5 linked regions of the Ovis aries genome follow. The protein of the gene in region 5 purifies or fractionates together with the protein of the main gene of each other region. This does not show direct contact. Links are inferred from orthologs where the notes say so. Each region holds a gene or a part of one and is shown on either strand. Other genes may lie near its edges.

Region 1 (4,437 bases), on a different chromosome or scaffold from region 5:
GTGTTCCACTCCCACTCCTCCCCCCAACCCCCAAGCCTGCCAGCAATATCCCAAGGTCCTGGCACCTCCGGGGAGCTTCTCCTTCTCGCCAGTGGACAGGCCCAGCTGTTCGGCCAGCTCCTTCTGCATGGGCCCCAACGTGTCCTTGTAGGGGCAGCGGGTGGTCCAGTGGTCACCCTTGCAGATTCGGCAGGACACTATCTTCTGGCCCTTGAGCTTGTTCATTGGGTCCTCCTCTTCCTGGCAGTTCAGATCCTGGCAGGGCAGGTGGTGGCAGTTCAGACGGTAGTTCAGCTGCTCCCCTGCTGCCTCCAGTAACACCCTGGCCACTGGCTCCCCCTGCCAGCCACCACACTTACCTCTTTGCTGGTGATGAATGTCATGGATACATCATCGCTGACTGTGGTGGTGGCTACGTTGGGCCCCGGTGGGTCAAATTCTGAGTTCCCAAACTTCTTCCAGTTCTGAGCTCAAGGCAGGATGGGGGACAGGTCAGGGCAAGGACAAGTGGGACCCCCTCCATTTGCACCCTAGACTTAACAAGAGCCACCTTGAGGGTGAGTGAGTCTTGAACCCTATTCACCGCCCTCAAATGCTCCTTGGAGAAGCGATGATGACAGTTGCTATTCCCTGAGGGCATGCCAGGCCCCAGCTCCATGCCAGCTCCAAGAGTAGGGGCAGCTCTCAGCCTCATGTTACAGATGAGAAAACTGAGGCTCAGGGGTAAACAGGTCCAGAGCCAACAACCCCTGGCAGGGGCTGACCAGCTTCCACCGAGTGATACTCAGGGGTGTGCAGGATCACCCAGATTTCCAGGGGCCTTGAGCTCCTTAAACAACCTGTACCTTGGCATCCTCCCCTATAAGGGACCACAATGCTCCCCACACCTCCCTGGAATGCTAGGGGAATGAATGAGAAAATACTTCCCACGAAGCACCTGAGTCTAACACCGAGTATGTAGGTAACTGTGCAAAACGTATTTACTGCCATCACTTCTGCTGCTACGACCACCTCACAGGAGGGCTTTGGCTCTGTTCCTCCCAGGCGACAAGCCGAGAGAAGTAAGAACCAACCCCTCCGCTCCCACTCCTGCACCTGCTGGACTTTTCAGGGCCCCCACGGACTGCACACAGGCCTCAGTTCTGCTCCAACAGAAGAGGTACACCCAGGGGACTTCCCCGGTGGCCCAGTGGTTAAGACTCCGCACTCTCAATGCACAAGGTGTGGTTTCAAGCCTTGCTCGGGGAACTAAGATCCCACATGCTGTGTGGTGCAACCAAACAATTAGAAAGAAACAAAAAAGCATCAGTCTCTCAATCATGTCTAACTTTTTGCGACCCTATGGACTATAGCCCACCAGGCTCCTCTGTCCATGGAATTCTCCAGGCAAGAACACTGGAGTGGGTAATCATCCCCTTCTCCAGGGTACCGTCCTGACCCAGGGATGAACCAGCATCTCCTGCATTGCAGGAAGATTCTTTACCACTGAGCCACCAGGGAAGCCACCAGGAAATTGTTTAACAAACAGTTAAACCCCACTTCTAAAAATGAAGGCAATAGGGAAAAGAACTCCTATTTTTTCTTTGAGTCAGCCCTGGAGGAGCCCCCAAGGAAGGGGGAGAAGGGTCTTACCTTCCTCCTTGCCACAGCCTTTGAGGCCTTCCGGGTCTCAATTCTGAAGGTGCGGACGATCTGTGGATAGGAGGGGAAACGTTTGGGCCTTCTGCTCCTCAAGGTTCCTAGCAGATCTTCCTCATCAAGACATCCAACACACCACTCTCTCCCTAGTCCAAGTGCCCCTCAAGCAAAGGGCTCCCACCTCTTCCCCAGCCTCACCTTGAACTTCTTGCCATCCTCATCTATCTTATACTCCGTCACTGTTTTGATGTTTCCATTGATGACCTCCTTGGGAGGTGGCAGTGGAGCTGGGAGAGAGGAAGAGACAAAGGAACTGAGCCCTGGGTAATAGGGACCAGAAGGAAGGAGGCTGGGGAGAGAGACGGCCCAGGGCTGGAGTGAAGTCGGGCACTCACCTCCCGGCAATAGCTCAGGCTCTGGACTGGTATCCCCAGTGGCCAGGGGGATCCCCTTGAGGAGCTCGCTGGTGACACATTTGTCTGTGACAGGGAGTGGAGGGAGCAGGGGTCAGCTGGGGGGTAGGGGTGGGCAGCGACAGGAACTCCCAAGCTGAAATCAAGGGACCTTTGGGATGATGCCTGCACCAGGAGCTGAGAAAGGTGGGACCAAGGGCAGAGGACTGGCCAGGAAGTGTCTTGGGATAGCCATTCAGGGACACGGAGCTGGCCGGTAGTAACTTCCAGCAATGAGAAGGGGAAGGGGATCCTTGGCCTGAGGGCCTGAGGGCCTGAGGGCCTGAGGGAAGGGGAGGGCCACAGGCATCCGGGCAATAGTATTAATACAAAGGCAGGAGTGTGGCTGTTAAACAATTTCCTGCCAGGAGCAGGGAAGCAGAAGTGCTGGCATCAAGGACTTGGGCGGTGGCACGGCAGAAGATGGGCTGGCTGGTGAACGTATGGAGTTGGAGATAGGCTGGCCCAGATGAGAGTGGCGCGGGGCAGGGGCTGGCTGTGAGGGGAGATGCAGGGTCTGACGGCGGTGCCAGGGTGGAGGATCAGAGCAGGCAGCAGTGACGGCCTGGGGCGGCGGGGGGAGGCCGGGCTGCGGTGATCCGAGGCGACAAGGTAGACTCACCGTCCTCTCCTTCCTCTTCCACCTGGTCCGCCCAACTGGGCTTCGAACTGCGGGGACAAGTTTGTCAAAAGGAGGGATGAGTGAGGCGAGGCCCAGCTCCCGCGGCCTCAACGCACCCAGGCTCTATATTAACTCCTAGGACCGCCCCCCATCCCCGGTCTGCTTACCAAACCCCCTCCACGACCCCTGACTCACTCAAAGTCTCCGGTCGGCATCGCAAAATCTCCACGCAGCCCAAGCCTGGGCCAAAGACCGGAAGTAAGAGGTGAAAGAGACTTCCGGCTCCGCTGCCTAGAGCAGCCGTAGCACTCCACAGCGCCCCCTACGGACGGAGGTAGAAGCGCCGCCTATGTGAGAGGCTGGGCCCTGGTATCTTACTATTAGAGGCTCGGCTCATTTACCTGAAAATCTTATTTATTTATTTATTTATTTGGCTGCGCTGGGTCTTAGTTGCGGCATGTAGGATCTAGTTCCTGGACCAGGAGGGCCTGCATTGGGATCACTGAATCTTAACCACCGGACCTTTTCTTTTACTTTTTTTAAAAATTAAAAATAATGACAATAAAGCTCAATTATATAGCTCTGACTGTTTGCAGGAACTGTGAGGAGGAAATTATCGTTTCCATTTTTCAGCTGAAGAAACCAAAACTGGTCTTCCTTGCCTGGAAATAACTTTTCTGATTCAAATGATCAAGATATCAAGTCACCCCCTAACTATTCTCCCTCCTTGAGTAACTCCCCCCCCCGCACTGTGAGGCTTGCAGAATCTTAATTCCCTAACCAGGTATCAGAACTGGGCGCTGCAGTGGAAGTGCAGAGTCTTAACCACTGGACCACCGGGGAATTCCTAGTAACATTCTTGGCTCCCTGATATAATCTTTTCCATTTTCTTTAATTTATTGCTTATTGTCCAGCGTTCCCTCTACTGTATGCATTCTCAGTGGGAGTGATATGACTCCCAAGGGGACCAAAATTAATTGTTCTGTGGCAAAAAAGAAACAAACAAAAAAAAAACCAACTTGGAGATGACAATGACTTGTGGCCTCCAAAGCCAACCCTCCCAGACAAAATCTTATTTCTAAACATTTAATTTCTATTGTTAGGGAGAAATTAAATGTAATTAGATTAACACTGATTTAAATGGAAGATAATTCCATTTTTCTCCTTTAGAGGGATGATAATGAAAAAAATGGTAAAAACTGCTGCAGACTTCTGCAGAAACACATTTGCCTGCTTTGTTCACTTCTGGGTCCCCAGCACCCTCAGGGTGTCTACACTTGATAAGTGCTCAATTCATGGGTATTTGGAACCGACAGGAACCAGATTATAAAGGACTTTAAAAACTAGACTAAAGATCATAGTCTCTTATATATATATTACATATATATACATGTATATATATATAACATATATAACATTTTTAAAAATATTTATTTTTATTTATTTGGCTGCATAGAGTCTTAGTTGTGGCACGTGGGAACTAGTTCCCTGACCAAGGATCAAACCCAGCCACCCTGTATCTTGAGCACAGAGTTTTAGCCACTGGACCACCAGGGAATTCCCAGCACAGGCTCTTTATCCTGCAGGCTGTGGGGTGTGAGTGAGGCGCTGACATGTTCTGAATGGTGACCCAATGTGACCAGATTTTCTTGTGAGAAAGATTATTCTGGAAGCCTGTAGAGGATAGGGTGGAAAGGAATAAATCAGCAGACCAGGAAGGAGGCT
Region 2 (4,494 bases), on a different chromosome or scaffold from region 5:
AGAGTCTCAGTTAGTCCCTGCCCCCTGCTGATGCCGGGAGGATGTTCTAACCCCCGCCCACCATTACAATGCACTGTTCCTCCTGCACTGGTGACTCTAGCCCCCCCGCCCGTCTTCTTCCCTCGCTGCTGTGGTTTGGGTCAGGTCTTTTAACTTCTCCACACAGTCCCTCCTCAGACATCCCGCCACTGTGGCACTCACAACGGACGACATTGTATCTGTCTCCACCTCTGGAGAATGTGCTTCTCCATAGCAAAGACCTGCTCTAACTTCTCTGCATGTCACCAGTGCCCAGCAAAGACCTGGGAGAGATCTGGGTACCCAGAAAATATTTCCTAAATGGAGCCGTTCAATAGGCTCCCCTGTCTTCTGTCTGTTCCTGCAATGTTCCCCACTGCTACCTGGGCTTGCCAAAGCTAAACATGCTTGGGGACTTCCCCAGCAGTGGTTAAGACTCTGCCTTCCAATGCAGGGGGTGTGGGTTCAATCCCTGGTCAGGGAACTAAGATCCCAGTTGCCACAGGGTGTGGCCAAAAATTAAAAAAAAAAAAAAGAATTGAACAGGCTCTTCCCTGCTCAGGACCCTCCCCAGCATGAAGTCCTACAGAACAGTCATGTTCCTGAGCTCACATTCAAGGCCCGTCTGGCCCTAGCCTGCCTCAGCTTCTCCACTGCTGTCTGTTTCACCCCCGAGAAGCAGGAGCTCCTGCCAGATCAGATGACTTGGACGTGCCACTTGCTGTGCTTCCACTCTTGCATCTGCCACAGCTATCGCCTCACATGACACTTGCTTTGGGAAGCCTTCCCGGGCTGATCCCATCCCCATTTCAGGCTTCAGGTGCCTCCCCCTCAGCTTTCATAGTGCACTGTGCTACCTCTAACAAGGCTTATATCTCACTGGAGTGCCTCTTTTCATCTCTGTCTCCTGATTTTCTTGTCTCTTTTTCCCTAGACTGGGAACCATCTCTGGTTTTATCTCTATTTCCCCAGAACCTGTTGACCTCAATAAGTATATTGTAGGTCCTCACTGTTTGCTGAAAAAGTGCAGGATCCAGGCTTACCTGTTTCACAGTCCCAGAGACGACAGCTGTTGTCAGCTGAGCCAGTGAGGACATGCTTGGTGTCCCCTGAAGAGGGTGTTAAGAAGCATAACAGAATTCACCTGAGTCCTTGTCCTCTTGGAAGGCCAAGTGAATCATCTCCCTATTCAGCACCAGAGAGCCTTCCTTCTCTCATCCTAACCTCCTCATTCAGAACTGGAACCTGTCCTAAATGTTCCCCGAAATAGTGAACAGACCAAGGAGTAGGAGGTAGGTAGCATCATTCTCCAGACCCCACCAGAGCATCTCAAACTCTCAGCTTCAGGTCAGCAGCTTCTCCATTGCTGGCAGACCCTGGTAGCACAGACTCAGAACAAAGATAAGGATACAGTCAGCGTCCACACACCACACAGCTCCGGTATGGCCCATGTAGGTGCCCAGTCTCTCACCATTCACAGAGTACCATACATTGACAATCTGGAGGATCAAGGACAATGTGACAGGATGATAGGCATTGTGGGCAGAGCCATGGCCTATTTTGCCCCAGAAGCTTCTAGCCAGGCCAGATTCGACCCTCCCCAGCTCATCTCTTGGGGAACAGCAGGTTGCTGGTAAAAAGACCAACTCCTGGATTCTCCTCCTGCTTGCGAAAAAGTCTCCATCATACCAGCCTTTCCCCAGACTCCTAAACCCTTTGAGGAATAAAAGGTCAAGCTGAGTATCAGCCTAGCAAAAGAGTAGTGTTTTGGTGTTCTGTCCAAACAGGAGCCGTTGGTAGGAGAGAAACCTAGGTTCCAGTCCCTGCTCTGCTACTATCTCACTGTATTATTGAAATGTGTGCTTTTCCCCTCTGAACTTCAGTTTTCCCACGTGTAAACTGGCCAGGACAATAACGCCTTTTTCAAAGAGTAGCTGTGAGACTCCAATAAAATAATGTCTAAGGAATTTAAAATGTGTCTAACATTAATATGGTACTCACAAACACTCTTTATTCAAGTAAGCTCTTTATTTGAATAATCTCATTTAATTCTAAAGACAACCCCAAGAGGGAGGTACTATTACTACCCATATTTTGTAAAAAGGGGCTCTTAAAGTTTATAATGGTTAAATGGCATGTTCAAAGTCACACTGCTAGTGAATACAGGACTCAGGATTCAAATCAGGTGTGTCAGCCCCCACGTTTAGCCACTAGGGTTAACTTTCTCCATATGGAGGTGCCTCAAAATGCAGTACTCAAAGGGGCTGTTTGCAGTGAGTGAGTGGCAGGAAGAGGGATGACTGAAATGATACCAAGGACACCTTCTTTAAGGTCTTTATCCTCGCCGCCCCAGGATCAACTTCCCCCTTCTCCAGGTGGTCTGTTCCCCTATCCTTGTAGAATAGTTTTGTTCTTCCCCGGAATGAGCTCCTCTCCGCCCCATGAGCAAGATGACCCACGTCCCCGTCCCCTTTCCACAAGGTACCCTTGCTTTTCTTCTCCCTGGCTACTCCCTCCTATCAACAATGGAGTCCTTTCCCACATCTATCGGTGTAATGCTCTTGCCCTCCAAACCCCGGGCTGATCTCTCCCTACTTCTCAGAACGGGGCACTCCTCGGTTTTTCTCGCAGCAAAACTAGCTTGTCCACCCTTCGCCCCGGGAGAATGAACGCGCCCGCTCCCGAGCCCCCTCCGCAAGGTCCCGGCGGGCCCGCCCTTCGGCCGACGCTCACAGGGTCCTTCGCCACCGTGAAAAGGAGGTCTCCCTCGCGGTTGTACTTAATCTGAGTAATGGACCGCTCATGGCCCTGCAGCAGGATCGGCTTCTGTGGGGACAGGACGGCAGTGTCAGCGCCCAGAATTGGCCCCTACCCCAGCACGGACCCCTACGGCAATACCTTTAACACAGGAGAACTCACCATTCCGGCGGTGACGCGAGGAAAGCGGCAACGTGAGTAGAACCGGAAGAGGCTTTGGCGCCACTTCCGGATTACGAGTCTCCGCCCCCTTTGTTCCCGGAAGTGGAGAGGATCGGCGTTGCCATGGCGGCGACCCTGGGTAAGCGGGCCCCGCCCCTCCCCTCGCTTCCAGACTGCTATCCCAAGTTCATTTCTTACTCCCTCCTCCACCACCTAACCCCGACCCTTGCTACAACCCCGAACTTGGGCTCCAGGATCCATCTCCCCGGCTTCCCGGGGCCTGTCCTACCCGCCAATCAGACCCGGGGCGTCGGAGAGCAAAGAAGGGATGTGGGAGCGGCGGGGTGGGAATGGGAGACCGGAGGAGGGCTAAGGCCGTGCGGTGGGGCGGCGGGGGATGTCACTCGTCTCTCCATCCAGGGCAGGTGCTGGCTCTGGTGCTAGTGGCCGCTCTGTGGGGTGGCACACAGCCATTGCTGAAGCGGGCCTCCTCTCGCCTGCAGCAGGTTCATGAGCGGACCTGGGCCCGGCAGTTGCTGCAGGAAATGAAAACCTTGTTCTTGAATCCCGAGGTGCGTCTGTGAATGAGTCCTCTCTAGAGGGTAGCAGCTAAGAATTTGGTCTCTGGAGTCAAACAGATCAGGCTCAAAATCTGTGCTCCACCACTTACTCGCCAGAAGCTCTTGGATGAGTCTTGTTTGCCTTGAGTCTCAGTTTCGTCATCTGTAAAATGGGGATAATAAGGGTAACCGTCTTACGGGGCAGTTGTGAGGGTTAAGTGAGGTGAGGCACTAAAGCAGTTAGCAGTGGGCCTTATACATATTATAATTAGGTTTCAAGTCTCTGATGCCCTGAGCAGCTAGTAATATTTTATTATGGTGATCCTTCCAACAGACTTTTCCAGAGGGAGGGCTTAGGGCTTAAATTGGCCCTGGGGAGGGGGGCATAAGGGAGAATCTAGAGTACTACTTCTGAGCTCAGTGCTGCCAGTCTCGGCTGGTGGGAAAGTCATAGACACAACTGCCTCTCAGGGGTAAGGGCTTTGAGTGAGGTACAGACAAAGTGCTTTGTGAGTTCAGAGGAGGGAGGCTGGAGCTAGGCGACTGAGGGAAGGTTTCTTGGAGAGAGGAACACTGGCGCTCAGGGACTTGCAGGATGGGGAGGACAGAAACCAGCCGGGCTGAGGGGGAGGGCATTCAGGGCAAAGGCATGGGGTTCAGTCAGTGATGTTCCCTCTGCCCTGGAAGGGTCCTTTTCAGATGGCTTGGGCCCTAGCCCTTACAGCTACCCCTCCCTCCAAGGAAAGGCTTATCTCAAAGCTCAAAGAAGGCAGCCCTGCTCAGATAAGCAATCACACTGACCAGTTTTCTTCTGTTTCCAGTACCTGATGCCCTTTTCTCTCAACCAGTGTGGCTCCCTTCTCTATTACCTCACCTTGGCATCAGCAGGTGGGTCTCTGGCTTAGAACCACTATACTTAGGATGGAGGGAATGTCTCAAACACCTTGTTGCCATGAGTGAGGGATTGGTTCCATATTTGCACCCTCTTCTCTAGGCA
Region 3 (4,285 bases), on a different chromosome or scaffold from region 5:
AAACCCCCTCCTCCCAAGTGAGGACACAGTGTCACAAAGTGTTAGAAAGACTGGCTCAGGATAGCTTCGTAAGAGCCCAGCTCTCCTATGACCACTGGAAGTAGCCAGAGCTTCTAACCATTATCCTTTTGAGAGAATAAAATTGAAATGAACTTGGAGCATCAGCTGCAGCTTTAAAAGATTCAGACCCCGCTGACAGGCAGGCACCTTTCCGAGCCGATCTCCTTTGCTGAACGGCTGGTAGGGCATATCCCGAAACTGCTCCGGAACTGCACAGGGACCCCAGCCTGAGGGGTTGTCCTGGATCACGGGTGTCATGAACTTTGCCATCTTTTAAAACCTTAAAAATACAAATAACAAAGTAACTCCATGAAGAAAAGCCTCTAAAAAACAAACAAACAAAAAAACCCGAAGTCTTCCATTTGAGGTAAGCTAATACAGGATAAAGTTAAAAAAGCAAAACACAGAACAGAACCCTCAACTGCTGAGCTACTCTCCACTTACCATCTTCTTGTGAATAAGACTGTGAATACTTAAAACTCAGACGACTGCTCACCAAATTTATGTATCATATCTCACCATTTGTTTTTTCCCACTGTACTATCTCTGACATGAACCTGCACCTTCTAACTGATGAGGTGTCATACCGTATCTGGCAACTTTTCTTTCTTAGTGTTACATGAAGATATTGTGCTTCTTGAATTCAGTGATGTCTTACAGACTTGATGAAATGTAATTAACTTTTTTTTGAGTTTAATAACCAGGTTCCAGTTTTCATTCACACCTTTACCAGACATACAATATTTAATTCCCCTAAACCTCAGTCTCTTTACCTGAAAAATAATAAGATCCTTGTTTTATTCCCATCAGAGGATCACTGTGAAAGCTGTATATATTAGTTAACATAAGCAGAAATAGTTCCATTGTAAAACGCCAGACACTTACTATTCTGTCTTACAAAAATACATTTACACACAGTGCCGAGAAAAAACAAGGGTCCATGAATGTATCCTGAAATGCAACCTTCCTTTGTTGTTCTTTCAATTTTCTGTTGTCAGTGTAAATTCTTATGCAGGGCATAGAAGTCAGGCAGAAAGCCCAGCAGAAGGTTGAGGAAGCCAGAAGCCTTATGTCATGAAAGTGGCCGAACACAGCCAATGTTCATAAACATTATGAGTACCAGGCATGTTGTTAGCGCTTTCCACACATTAATTCATTAACTCCTCAACAATCTCCTCCCGAGGTAGGGCCAGTATTAGCCCCACTTTCCAGAGAAGAAAACTGAGGCACAGAGATATCAAGAAATCGCCCAAAGTTGCAACACTAATGGATGAAAATCTGAACCCTGGGAAACTGGCTTCAGAGTCCACACTTTGTGTAAGGCCAGTACTCCGCTCAGGAAGAGTAAAAACCAGGGGCTCGACAGATATCTGCCAAACAATTCCTCCCCAAAACTCATGCATGCATTTATCATCCATTCTAATCCCCTGAAAATGCCCAGAAGCTGAGTTCCCAGGGGAAAATTCACCACACAAATATTTCCAGAGTCTGGGGAGCAATCAAAGAGCTGCTGCTGCTAAGTCACTTCAGTCATGTCTGACTCTGTGCGACCTCATAGATGGCAGCCCACCAGGCTCCCCTGTCCCTGAGATTCTCCAGGCAAGAACACTGGAGTGGGTTGCCATTTCTTTCTCCAGTGCATGAAAGTGAAAAGTGAAAGTGAAGTCGCTCAGTTGTATCAATCAAAGAGCAAAGAATACTAAATTTATGAAACTCTCTTCATTTTCCCATGATGGGGAGAGTTCCTAGAGGTGACACTTGCGTGATCCAAAAGGGCATGAACCTGGAAGCCCCATCCTCCTACCTAAACTTAAATTACACTACAGGAAGCGGACTGAGGGAGAGTGTGGTGGTCTCAAAACAATATACCCTTATATATTACCAGGGTCCTACAACATGTCAGATGCAACACCACTAAACCCCTAGGCCCCAATTTCAGATTAAAAAAAAAATACACAGTTCAGCCAAATCAAGCAGCTGATCTCATCATTTCAAGATAGACTTGGTTTCTAGGGTCCTCTGTCTTAAGTGTAACACTCTTCCCATTATTTTACAGCTGGACAGCAGCCTGAAAAGATCCTGGGTTTCAGATCATATCAATAACACAGTGAGATATCTCCAAACACACTTTAAAAGGGGCGGAAGGAAGTCGCTTGGTTTCAACGCGTAAACTAAAAAGTAGGCAGAGTACAATGTAACCAACAGGGGAAACTAAATCTTTCAGTTGAAACGGAGTGACAGCTGTACTGGCTACAGATAAAGGATGGGGCGGCATCAACAGGACAGTCATAGGGAGAACCTTGTGGCTGGCAGGTTACTGCAGATCGTTTGCCAATTCCTGGGCGGTTAATGTCAAATCAGAGATCAACCAACTACATCCTAGCCTTCCATTTCATAGGCAAGGAAAAGAAACATTTAGACGGTGAACTCCTCAGAGCAGGGCCGAACATCGCTCAGTTTGGCACACCCAATAGCCCTCTCGTAGAAGCTCAGGGAACCGTGGGGCACTTTAAAAGACCCTGAGACTCAGCGGGGTTAATGACATGTTCACATCAGAACACACTGTCGGTGGCCGCTAAGCGGACTCCACGGAAAGAGACCTCAACCACAGGCTCTGCCCCGCACTGGGTCGGACCTGGGGGGACCGAAGGCGGATTCCTGCCCCTCCCAGCGGAGGTACAGGGAAGCAGGAGGGGGCGTACGGAAGTCTCTTCCGGCAGGCCCCCGAAGGCCAGGCGCAGCTCAACTCTGCTCTGGAGATCCGCGGAAGCGTACGGAATACGCTGCTTACCTGTAACGGCCGTAACCGGCCCCGATGGTGAGAGATAGTCTAGGCCGAATACCGCGCCACCGCCTGAGCTACGGGGAACCGGGAAAGGAGGAAACATGCGCGCGCAGCGGCCGGCACCGTAAATACGACCGACGGTGTCGTAAACTGCTTCTTGGCTTCCTTCCGGTTCGACGGCGGAACACGCGAGTCGTAAAGCGAAGGCACATCCGGAAGTTCGTCCCTGTTCTCTTCGCGGTGTTCTTATTTAGCCTTCGAGGATGTTTACAGTTACGTCATGGGGCATCCGGCGACACTCCGAGAGTTTCAAGTTTCTTGAAACGTGGCGGCCTTGTAGTTGGAGTTGGAAGCGGCGACTGGCTGAAAGCCCCTCTATGTCCCACAATGCCTTGCGGGCCGCTCTGGCCCTCTGTATCCCACAACGACCCGCGGCTTCTGCCTTCTTTAAAAGATCGTGTTGTTTGAGTTTCACCGTTAGGGGGAGTTCGAGTCTTTCAGGCAGGTTTTTGCGGCTACTCGCTGAGCTTTGAGCGCTTTCGGAAACAGACCAGGAGGTGCAAAGTGACCTGAGTAGATCAGACTACTAGTGTCGGAGGTCGCTGCCAGTGTTCAAACCATACCTCCACAGTTCTCAGACTTTCTTGTTTGACAAAGATTCCTGGAGAGCTAATTTGAAAAATGAAGATTCCGGGTCCCCTTCCATAGACTGTTATACAAGCGTGGCTTAGCTGGAGCCCAGAAACCTGCATTTTAATTGGTGGTGATTCTGAAGTGGCGACTCAGGAACCACCTGGCTACGATGGCAACGGTGCTGTCTTTTTGGAAACTCAGCCTACGGAGTTTGTCCTGCAGCACGCCAGGCCTCCCTGTCCATCACCAACTCCCGGAGTTCACTCAAACTCACGTCCTTCAAGTAGGTGATGCCATCCAGCCATCTCATCCTCTGTCGTCCCCTTCTCCTCCTGCCCCCAATCCCTCCCCAGCATCAGAGTCTTTTCCAATGAGTCAACTTCGCATGAAGTGGCCAAAGTACTGGAGTTTCAGCTTTAGCATCATTCCTTCCAAAGAACACCCAGGACTGATCTCTTTCAGAATGGACTGGTTGGATCTCCTTACAGTCCAAGGGGCTCTCAAGAATCTTCTCCAACACCACAGTTCAAAAGCATCAGTTCTTCGATGCTCAGCTTTCTTCACAGTCCAACTCTCACATCCATACATGACCACTGGAAAACCATAGCCTTGACTAGGCGGACCTTTGTTGGCAAAGTAATGTCTCTGCTTTTGAATATGCTATCTAGGTTGGTCATAACTTCCTTTCCAAGGAGTAAGCGTCTTTTAATTTCATGGCTGCAGTCACCATCTGCAGTGATTTAGGAGCCCCCCAAAATAAAGTCTGACACTGTTTCCACTGTTTGCCCATCTGTTTGCTATGAAGTG
Region 4 (4,512 bases), on a different chromosome or scaffold from region 5:
GATGTTCTGCAATGAATGCAATGTAGTAGGTTATTCTATCTCAAGTGATACATACATGGTATGTGACTTATACATTCTTTAAAAGTGGCATTACTTAGAAATACAGTGTTTTACCTTGATACTTCTCTTTGTATTTGTACTTAAATTTTCATAAGCCATTTTAACTTTCACCTTCTGAATCTGGGTATCTTACTCCCAGAGTAACAAACATATGGTACAGGAAGGGGTATGAAGATAGGTAATACATGAACTGCATATAATAGCAACCAGTGAAACCGTTTTTAACTATAGGAGTCAGCACTCTATGAAAACCACCATTGGACACTATCTTACCATAAAAAATAATCAAACAAGATGCCACATATAATGGCATTCTGAAGTGTTATGCAAATAAAAGGCCTTGTGTGCACACAGGTACACTGTTAACAATCCCAAGGCAGTCTAGTCTCACAAACCACTAACCCATGTCAAACACATTTGATCCCCTATAGGTAAGGACACAGATGCAATAGTTAGCTTTGGGACACCTCCAGTTCTTGAAGTTCAGTAATTAGTCACACTGGATACTGTATTATTGCAAAGAATTTTTTGGTTTCATTTAAAAGTAAAAGGGAGTGGATATATGTACAGTTATAGCTGTTTCACCTGTGTACAGCAGAAACCAACGCAACATTGTAAAGCAATTTTCCTCTAATTAAAAAAAAAAGTAAAAGGCCTGTTAAGTTTTATCATGTTTCTTCACAAAGAAAATATAAGATGTTTTTTCAGGGGCCATCAAGAAGTATATTGAAAATAGATTAATTTTATAGACCCATTAACACAGTGGGCCTGTATTAATATAATTATATACCAAATCAATACAATGGGAAAAGATCCAAAGTGGGGAAAGAAATTTGATAATTTCTCAAGGGCTGTCAGATGTACCATTGTACCCCAGCATAAGTGTCCCTTATATGTATTACACAAGCTAAAAGATTCATGTAACTGTATTAAAGGAGATGAGGGCTTCCAATTGGGTAGAGTGGAAGAAGAGACCTCACTAAGCACATCTGTTTTACTAGTCTGGACTTTATTTACACAATGCTATCGGCGTCTTTCACCTCTAAAAAAATTCCACACAAGTTATACAGAAAAGGAAAACAGGCTTTTCACTAATTATGACACTGAGACACCAGGACGGCAAATTCAGGCCAAAATACTTCAGATGAAGCTCCTGGGCAGCATCCCAAACTTATGATGATAAACCAACCTTGTTAGTCCCAAGTTGATAATGGGAGAAGAACGAGAAGTTTCAAAGATTGCAACCTTACTCTGCCATCTGCAGATAGTGACCTTGAACGAGTAATTTTCATATTCCTCACACAGGAGATAACCAACATCTGCCTATCTCACAGAACATCAAATTAGACCACACACAGAAAAGTGCCAGGTCAATTGTCAAGTGCTACGCTAGTGAAAGGTATTATGCTCAACTGCACGTTAATTTCCTCAATATTTTCCAAAGGCATACATCTCTATGTAAGAGAGAAGAGAAATTCTTGGTGAGAAATCAGTGTTCAGAGATAAGTCGTTCAACAAATGTTTTGTACAATGTAGGCTCACACCAGGGAAAAGAGATCATATCCCCCATTCTAAAATCACTGTTGACAAAATGTTGGCACAACTCTCTACTAAGTCCATCAGAAGTGCAGGCAGACTTACATGAAAGTGATATTTCCTCTCATTCTAAACAAGAATTCAACTCCAGCCACTAGTATTCTTCTAAAAGCAACTCCTAGCAGTTGTGCAGTTACCCTAAAAGAAAAAGGCCCTACCCTACTGCTGCGGCTATCAAAACTCAACCAAAACGGAAGCTGTCAAGGGCTCTGATCTTGGTCACCACTGGATCCCCAATATCCAGAAGCATGCCTGACAAATATACAGTTCACACTCAAGTAAAACTGTGTTGACTGAGTAAGAAAAAGTCCAGAAGAAATCTAGGTCTCCACCCTGTTTCCTCTCCTCCAACACGTGGGCGCATCACACCGGATTCCCTACCCCCGTCTTAACTCTAGCAGCGCCAACCTCCAAACCTAATACATTTACCCTTGGAAGAACATAGGGGCCGGATCACACTCTAGAAGGGGAAGAGCAAAAAGTGGAAGGACCTAAAGAGAAAGCAACACAGGCGAGTAAAACCTTCCCATCTGGACTCTCGCGCGTGCTTTTCAGGCGCGCCAGTCTCCAGTACCCTAGGCTCTCCGACCGCGCACGCGCACCGCCACCTTCCTCCGCCCCTCCAGCGACTCGCGCTCGGGTTCTAACTGCCCCCCCTTTATTCCCTGCCCCCACTCCCGTCCGCAACGGCCTCGCGCCTTGGAGACCTAGTTCAGAGTGCACCCGTCCGCGCGCCAACCGCCTCCTTCCTTCCTCCACGCTTTCACGCGGGCACACTGCTTCACGTCTATGAGAAGGCCTACATCTCCCGCTGATCTTTCTGCGCCTCCTCCTCACTCCAACTCAAGCCAGAGTCTACCATTACTCCCCAGTCCAACCTCGCGCAGATGGGGTGAAAAGGGTGTGAGGGGGGAGGGGAAGGTCCTTCCCCTCCCCCCAAACATCCCGAGGCAATAACCTAACATGGCCCAGCCGCCAGCCTGCCGCAGCCCCAAAATCCGAAGGGAAGAGGTGCCGCCCACCCCCCGACTCCGAAGAATCAGTGGATCAGGCTCGGAGAGTCGCTTCGGAGCCTGGTCCTTGGCCGCACTCGGCCGCTCACTCACCTGAGGCCGCCATGTTGGGAGAGGGAGAGAGAACGCAAAGGACCCGGATGAGGCAGTCACGTGATTAGAGCGAGCGCGTCGGGCTAGGAGACGCGAAACTGGGAGGGGTCGGGGAATTAAGGAGGGACACAGGAGGCGGGGCGGCGCTCCTCTAGGTTCGTAAAGCAGCGCGAGGAGGTGACGCGGCATCCGACGGGAAGACCTGCGCGACATGTGGCCAAAGGGGTGGGGCCTGCGCTGTCGCGAAACCCCTCACGCTTTACGTAGGGCGACGCGCGGACAAGGGGCAGGTCTCAGCCTGGGGCGGGGTCTCCTGAGCCGCAGACTTCCTGCCTGTGCGGTAAACGGAAGGGGTGGTGCGGCGTTGTCAAGTTCCACCTCTCTGGCACCGATTGGAGGCGGGCTGGAATCCAGAATTGGCGTGCCCCAATTGGTTTCCTGGGAAGATTCTGAGTTTCTTTGTAAATCGCTTTTTGTTAAAGCAAAATAAACCACCATTCTGCTTAAGGATGGTTTTAATTGGGGATGTTTAGAAGGAAAAGAAGGTAACATTCATCACTTACTTGCCATGGTCTTTTACTAAAAGTCTTTTAATCCTTCGTTTTGCAAACTAAATTCAAACTCAGGCCCTTAGGATTTCACCGTCTAATGCTATCTGCGCTTCCTCTTGTTGCCAGGTTGTCCTTGAGACCCGGTGGACTGTAGCCCGCCAGTCTCCTCTGTCCATGGAATTTCCCAGGCAAGAATATTGGAGTAGGTTGACATTTCCTTCTCCAAGGGATCTTCCCCATCCAGGGATGGAATCCACGTCTCCTGCATGGGAAGAACGATCTTTTACCAATAAGCCACCAGGGAAACCCCATAGGTAGTAGTTCATTCAATGAAAATTTGCTTTGCACTCCTACCACGTGTCAGGCGCTTTTATTGGCATTTTGGGTATAACTGGAGAATAAAACTCCAAAGCATGTTATATAATTCAGTGAGGGAAAGACAGACAATAAGCAGTAATTAAATGAAATATTAGAAATGTTAAGCACTCTAGAGGTAATTAAGGTAATTTGATAAAACTGATTTTGTGCAACTTAAATTGCATGGTCAGGGAAGGCCTCTGAGGAAGCGACATGTGAACTGAGATCTGAGTTACAGAGAGCCAACCCCCTGAGGAACTAGATCAAATGCTCCAGGACAGGAACATGTTGGCAAGTTTGAGTCTCAGTTTGGTGACCGGAAGGGGGGTGGGCGGTAAAAGATGAGGTTTGAGAAATATGTTGGGGTTCAATCATGTGAGGCTCTGTGAATCAGGTTTAGGAGTTTGGATTTTATTCCAAGTGGACTGGGAAAGCGTGGAAAGATTTTATGCAGGGGAGTGTGAGGACTTGAAATAGTTTTGTAAAGGGTTACTTACTATCTTGATATGGGTGATGGTTACATAAGTGTATATTTAAGTACCTCAGATTGTACACTCAAGAATTGTGCGCTTAGTGTATAGAGGTCATACTTTAAACAACAGTGATGACAACAACAGGATTACTCAGTTTACTGGATGGAGAGTGGGTTATACACCTGCACTGATGGAAAAGAAAGATCAGTTAAAAGGTTCTTGGTGCCAGGACCTCATAATGTCTTCATGGACCCTAAGCACTTTTGCCTTCATAGGCCCTTTTCTCCTTTTAAACAGTGTTAACATTATTTGCTGCACTGGGTCTTCCTTGCAGCCTGTAGGCTTTCTCTAGTTGCAGCACATGGTAGC
Region 5 (4,435 bases):
TCCCTGGTACTTAACTGGTAGAGAATCCCCCTGCAGTGCGGAAGACCTGGGTTCGATCCCTGGGTTGGGGAGATCCCCTGGAGAAGGGAAAGGCTACCTACTCCAGTATCCTGGTCTGGAGAATTCCATGTGGGTTCACAAAGAGTTGGACATGTCTGAGCGACTTTCACTTTCACATTCTGTCCCTGAGCTTCCCATGTGGCGCTAACTATAAAGAACCCACCTGCCAATGCAGGAGATATAAGAGATGTGGGTTGGATCCCTGGGTTAGGAAGATCCCCTGGAGGAGGGCATGGCAACCCACTCCAGTATTGCTACCTGGAGAATCTCATGGACAGAGGAGCCTGGGGCTACAGCCCACAGGGTTGCAAAGAGTTCAATAGGACTAAAGCAATTTAGAACACATGCACGCATTCTGTCCCTATCACTTCTAGGCCATTTCTAGTTAGGGTTAGATTACAAGAACCCAGTGATAGGGACAGAATGACAGGATAAAATAGGTGACTAATTAGATAATCCCACAAGGGATTTTCTATAAGTAGAAAATATGGGAGACCCCTGTAAGTTAATGATTACTTGAGAAAGCAGGTTTGCCTCACCACAAAACCAAGCAGGGTTGCTTAGCAACAAAACCGAAGCAAGGGACACACCATAAACAATAAAACAAAGGTGGCAAGAGACCCACATCCTGCCCAGTGATCCCTCCGAAATGCTCTCTGCATGCGTAAAAAACTTTTGTGGACCTAGCTTGACCACACAGGGACAAGAAAACTCCCCTGCTCAGTCTGGAGGAGCTAATGATGAAAACATGATGTCTACTCAAGAAAAAGGAGGTCTTCTCCTCTTTCCCCCTTTTCCTTTGATTATAAAGCTGTAGCCAACTAGTTCTTGGGGCATGGCATTTCTTGCCCACCTGCTTGTAAGTCTCACAAGCGTTCTATTCTAATGAATCACTTTTTATCTACCACTTTGCTCTTGCTGAATTCTTCTGTGCACTGAGACATAAAGGACTATAGCACTGGAGCTCTTCAGAGTCCCCCTGAAATGACACCAATCAGTTTCACATGTAGTGTGATTAACATACATGACTGGAAAATCTTAGATATTGCCAAGGACAAAAATTGGAAAGAAATTTAAAAAAAACCCTTCAATATAAGCTCGCCATTAATGAACAGAATGATGTTTGACAAATCATGTCTCAGTTGCCAAATATGCTGTAGAAGTAAGTACAGCTCTTCATAGTTTGTCACATTGGGACTACCGATTAATTAAAAAAATTAGAAGTGAAAGCACTTTATACGAATGACGCGCTACATAAATGCTAGCTATAAAGCAATTATGATTCACTACCTAGTGCATATCGATTAAACATAAAGGGAAAAACACTTTCAAAAATTTCTTTTTGCATTTCTTAAAGCTTTCTAAACGAAAGAAGCACACACCCCTCCCCCCAAAGCACAATGCACATGCGCAAGGCGTTTCACTGCCGAAGAAAGGCTGGAAAAGAGAAGGGAGGCGGGGCTTCCCCTGCCGGCCTTTCCTAACAGCTCCGCCCCTCGAACGCCAGACTGCGCCTGACGTCAAGTGAAACTTTACTTCCGCTTCCGGCAACTCACGTTTCTCTTTCCCTGTCCGGCTGGAAAGATGGCGTCCCGCAAGGAAGGCACCGGCTCCTCCGCCGCCTCTTCCAGCTCTACCACCGGCGCTGCAGGCAAAGGCAAAGGCAAAGGAGGATCCGGAGATTCAGCCGTGAAGCAAGTGCAGATAGATGGCTTGGTGAGTGGGGTTCCTTTTCTCCCAGCCCACGTGGGTTCCCAGCCCTCAGTTCCCAGCCCGGTCTTGCCAGGCGTGCTTTCCGGCAGTCTCCCCTCTGGGCTTGCTGAAGCTGGGCCAAGGTTTTCCCGTAAAACTTTCTTTCTTTATCTTCACTTTATGTTCGGAAGACGCGGCTACCTTCTCTGCCGTCTCATCAGGGAATTGAGGACTCAGAAAGTGCACCTGGGCTCGGGTGTGTGTGTGTGACAGATTCTTGGGGGCTTGTTTTGAGATACTTGGGACAGGGTTTTTGGAGAATGACTATTGTGGGAGGCAAGTAGGTGTCGGAGGTGTCGAGAAGGATATAGAGCTTTTGGAAGGGGAGAGTAAAGTTTGTTTCCCTCTTGGGATCTGACATCTGTAACTTTCCAAGTGGAGATTAGTTTGTAGCCACTTTTGAGCCTGTGGTTCAGCGGTTACGTGAAACCGCGTTATTGGAATAAATACCTTATGTTGACTTCTTTCCCTCTCTGTGAATATTGGAGTGCCTTGGGATTTGGGTTTAGGCGTCCTTCCACCTGGTCTCTGCTTGACAAAGCAGATGAAAGCGCAACTCTGCTGTCAGACGGCCTGTCTTGAAATCCAGCGCTAAAATTAGCTGAATGACGTCGGGCATATTATTAATCTCTTCGTGCTTGGTAAGTTAAATAGTAAGAGGTGTTAACATGTACTTTTAGCTGCTGTTGTTACATTTGCAAAAGTTATAGTAGTAGACTTTCTTTAAGGCAGTCTTTTCAAGACTTTAAATATTATTTGTATTCTGATAACTCGTAGGTTTATTTCTTGTCAGACGTGGTTCTTGAATGCGACTCTTATGCATCTTGCTTGTCGCTGTTAGGATATCTCATAGGAACTTCAAACTTAATGTGTCCAAAATAAAATTTTTGACCCTTGCCCTGCTTCTCTCCCATGCATCGATCTTACCTCACTCTTTCCTATCTTAGTAAATGGAACTGCTATCTACCTGTTTGAAAAGTCAAAACCTGAGCATTAATGTATGCTTGTTCTTATTTTACCTTTGGCGTCCAGTCCCTGAGCAAATTCTGTTGGTTCTACGTCCAAAATACATCAGATTTCCTTTGCTTTTCTTCTAGATTCCACCGACCATATCCACTTAAAATAAAATGTAGAATTCTTACTCAGTCTTCAAGGCCCTGCTACTATTGTCTCTTTCTTCAGACTCATCTCATACTTTCTTCTAGGCCTCAGTCACAACTTTCAGTGTTTTATTTTCTCAGCCTGAAATACAAATATATCTTCCTACTCCGTGGCTTTTTTTGAGCCTTTAAGGTATTGGCTTAAGTGTCAGCATCTCAAGAGAGGCCTTGCCTGACTACCGTGTAAAACATAGCTTCATTCCCGTTACTCTCCCTTACATCACCTTTATTTCCTTCATAGCATTTTCCACTACTTGCAGTTGTCTGGTTTGTTTTCTTGTTTTTCTCTCCCAGTAGAATGCAAGCTACTGAGGGCAGACAGGTATTATGACTTTTCATCTGTTACGTTCCAAAACTGAATCAGTTAATTGAGATAGGATAAATTGATGAATGAAGTATTTTAGTTTCTTTTTGTAGTTCTTCCGTTTCACGTTCTGATACCTTTTTCTGTAGATTATTTTCATAGCATCTTGAATTGTTCTCTTAGCCTGCTTCAGTCCATCCTTCATACTTTTATTAAAACATGCACTTTAATGTGAAAGTTCAGACATGGTTAACTTCCCTCTTGAAATGTTTTTAGTGCCTTTGCAATGAATTCAAGGCTGACCAAGATGTCCTTGGCATTTGTGTTCAGGTTAACTTGCCACTGTTTCCATGCTTCGTAGGAATGGCTCATTCCAGCCACACAGGACTAATTTGCTTAGTCTGATGTTTAATCACATTTGTTTCTGGCACCTTGGTGATAGCCAGGGCCAGATTTCCTTTTCTTCTTGAGCCTCTCTTTTCGAACCTTTAGTTTTGTTTCATCAATCTTTAATTTTACCTTTCTCTTAACACATGGTGATTGTCAGACTTTTCCATATTAAAATGTCCAGCCCTGTCTCTTTTTACTTAGCACTTGTCGTTTATTCTTGGGCGTCCCTGATAGGTCAGTTGATAAAGAATCCACCTGCAATTCAGGAGACCCTGATTCAATTCCTGGGTTGGGAAGATCCGCTGGAGAACAGATAGGCTACCCACTCCAGTATTTTTGGGCTTCCCTTGTGGCTTAGCGGGTAAAGAATCTGCCTGCAATGTAGAAGACCTGGGTTCGATCCCTGGGTTGGGGAGATTGCCTGGAGAAGGGAAAGTATGCCCACTCCAGTATTCTGGCTTGGAGAATTCCATAGTCCATCAGTTTGCAAAGAGTTGGACACGACTGAACGGCTTTCATTTGTGTTCGTTCTTAGTCCCCACTTCTTTCCTTTGATGTCAGTGGTTAAACAATTCATCTGTATTTGTGGCCTTCCATTCTTTCTTCAACTCAGTGCTACTAGAATCTGCCATCACCAGTTTCTTGATTTAGTTTTTAAAAAGATGATTGATAACATTAGCAAAGAACTGTAAAACAACAGGATATACATGTAAAATAATGTCTTTAATACATAATTTAAGTAATCACAGAATAAGTATCCATTTACCTG

The links. Proteins that work in one complex are often made in the same cells at the same time.
Region 1: the proteins of EIF3H (region 5) and EIF3G purify together in Homo sapiens (affinity purification with mass spectrometry; 8 studies listed by BioGRID and IntAct, counting the BioPlex papers as one, with this or other methods). This does not show direct contact. The link is inferred for Ovis aries from reciprocal best matches to the Homo sapiens genes EIF3H and EIF3G.
Region 2: the proteins of EIF3H (region 5) and EIF3I purify together in Homo sapiens (affinity purification with mass spectrometry; 7 studies listed by BioGRID and IntAct, counting the BioPlex papers as one, with this or other methods). This does not show direct contact. The link is inferred for Ovis aries from reciprocal best matches to the Homo sapiens genes EIF3H and EIF3I.
Region 3: the proteins of EIF3H (region 5) and EIF3D purify together in Homo sapiens (affinity purification with mass spectrometry; 10 studies listed by BioGRID and IntAct, counting the BioPlex papers as one, with this or other methods). This does not show direct contact. The link is inferred for Ovis aries from reciprocal best matches to the Homo sapiens genes EIF3H and EIF3D.
Region 4: the proteins of EIF3H (region 5) and EIF4B purify together in Homo sapiens (affinity purification with mass spectrometry; 3 studies listed by BioGRID and IntAct, with this or other methods). This does not show direct contact. The link is inferred for Ovis aries from reciprocal best matches to the Homo sapiens genes EIF3H and EIF4B.

Annotation. Positions count from the first base shown.
Region 1 is NC_056058.1:12,527,467-12,531,903, forward strand, and holds the start of EIF3G (eukaryotic translation initiation factor 3 subunit G), read right to left. Parts: upstream 2,978-4,437; 5' UTR 2,928-2,977; coding exon 2,908-2,927; intron 2,760-2,907; coding exon 2,713-2,759; intron 2,118-2,712; coding exon 2,034-2,117; intron 1,926-2,033; coding exon 1,837-1,925; intron 1,693-1,836; coding exon 1,633-1,692; intron 465-1,632; coding exon 360-464; intron 256-359; coding exon 66-255; intron 1-65. UniProt on the Homo sapiens protein: RNA-binding component of the eukaryotic translation initiation factor 3 (eIF-3) complex, which is required for several steps in the initiation of protein synthesis.
Region 2 is NC_056055.1:235,308,427-235,312,920, forward strand, and holds the start of EIF3I (eukaryotic translation initiation factor 3 subunit I), read right to left. Parts: upstream 2,978-4,494; 5' UTR 2,941-2,977; coding exon 2,938-2,940; intron 2,845-2,937; coding exon 2,752-2,844; intron 1,518-2,751; coding exon 1,430-1,517; intron 1,128-1,429; coding exon 1,062-1,127; intron 1-1,061. Other genes in the region: TMEM234 (transmembrane protein 234), read left to right, coding at 3,061-3,076, 3,358-3,509, 4,319-4,385. UniProt on the Homo sapiens protein: Component of the eukaryotic translation initiation factor 3 (eIF-3) complex, which is required for several steps in the initiation of protein synthesis.
Region 3 is NC_056056.1:180,582,156-180,586,440, forward strand, and holds the start of EIF3D (eukaryotic translation initiation factor 3 subunit D), read right to left. Parts: upstream 2,978-4,285; 5' UTR 2,852-2,977; intron 341-2,851; 5' UTR 331-340; coding exon 208-330; intron 1-207. UniProt on the Homo sapiens protein: mRNA cap-binding component of the eukaryotic translation initiation factor 3 (eIF-3) complex, a complex required for several steps in the initiation of protein synthesis of a specialized repertoire of mRNAs.
Region 4 is NC_056056.1:133,421,326-133,425,837, forward strand, and holds the start of EIF4B (eukaryotic translation initiation factor 4B), read right to left. Parts: upstream 2,978-4,512; 5' UTR 2,776-2,977; coding exon 2,763-2,775; intron 1-2,762. UniProt on the Homo sapiens protein: Required for the binding of mRNA to ribosomes. Functions in close association with EIF4-F and EIF4-A. Binds near the 5'-terminal cap of mRNA in presence of EIF-4F and ATP.
Region 5 is NC_056062.1:60,661,913-60,666,347, forward strand, and holds the start of EIF3H (eukaryotic translation initiation factor 3 subunit H), read left to right. Parts: upstream 1-1,620; 5' UTR 1,621-1,644; coding exon 1,645-1,776; intron 1,777-4,435.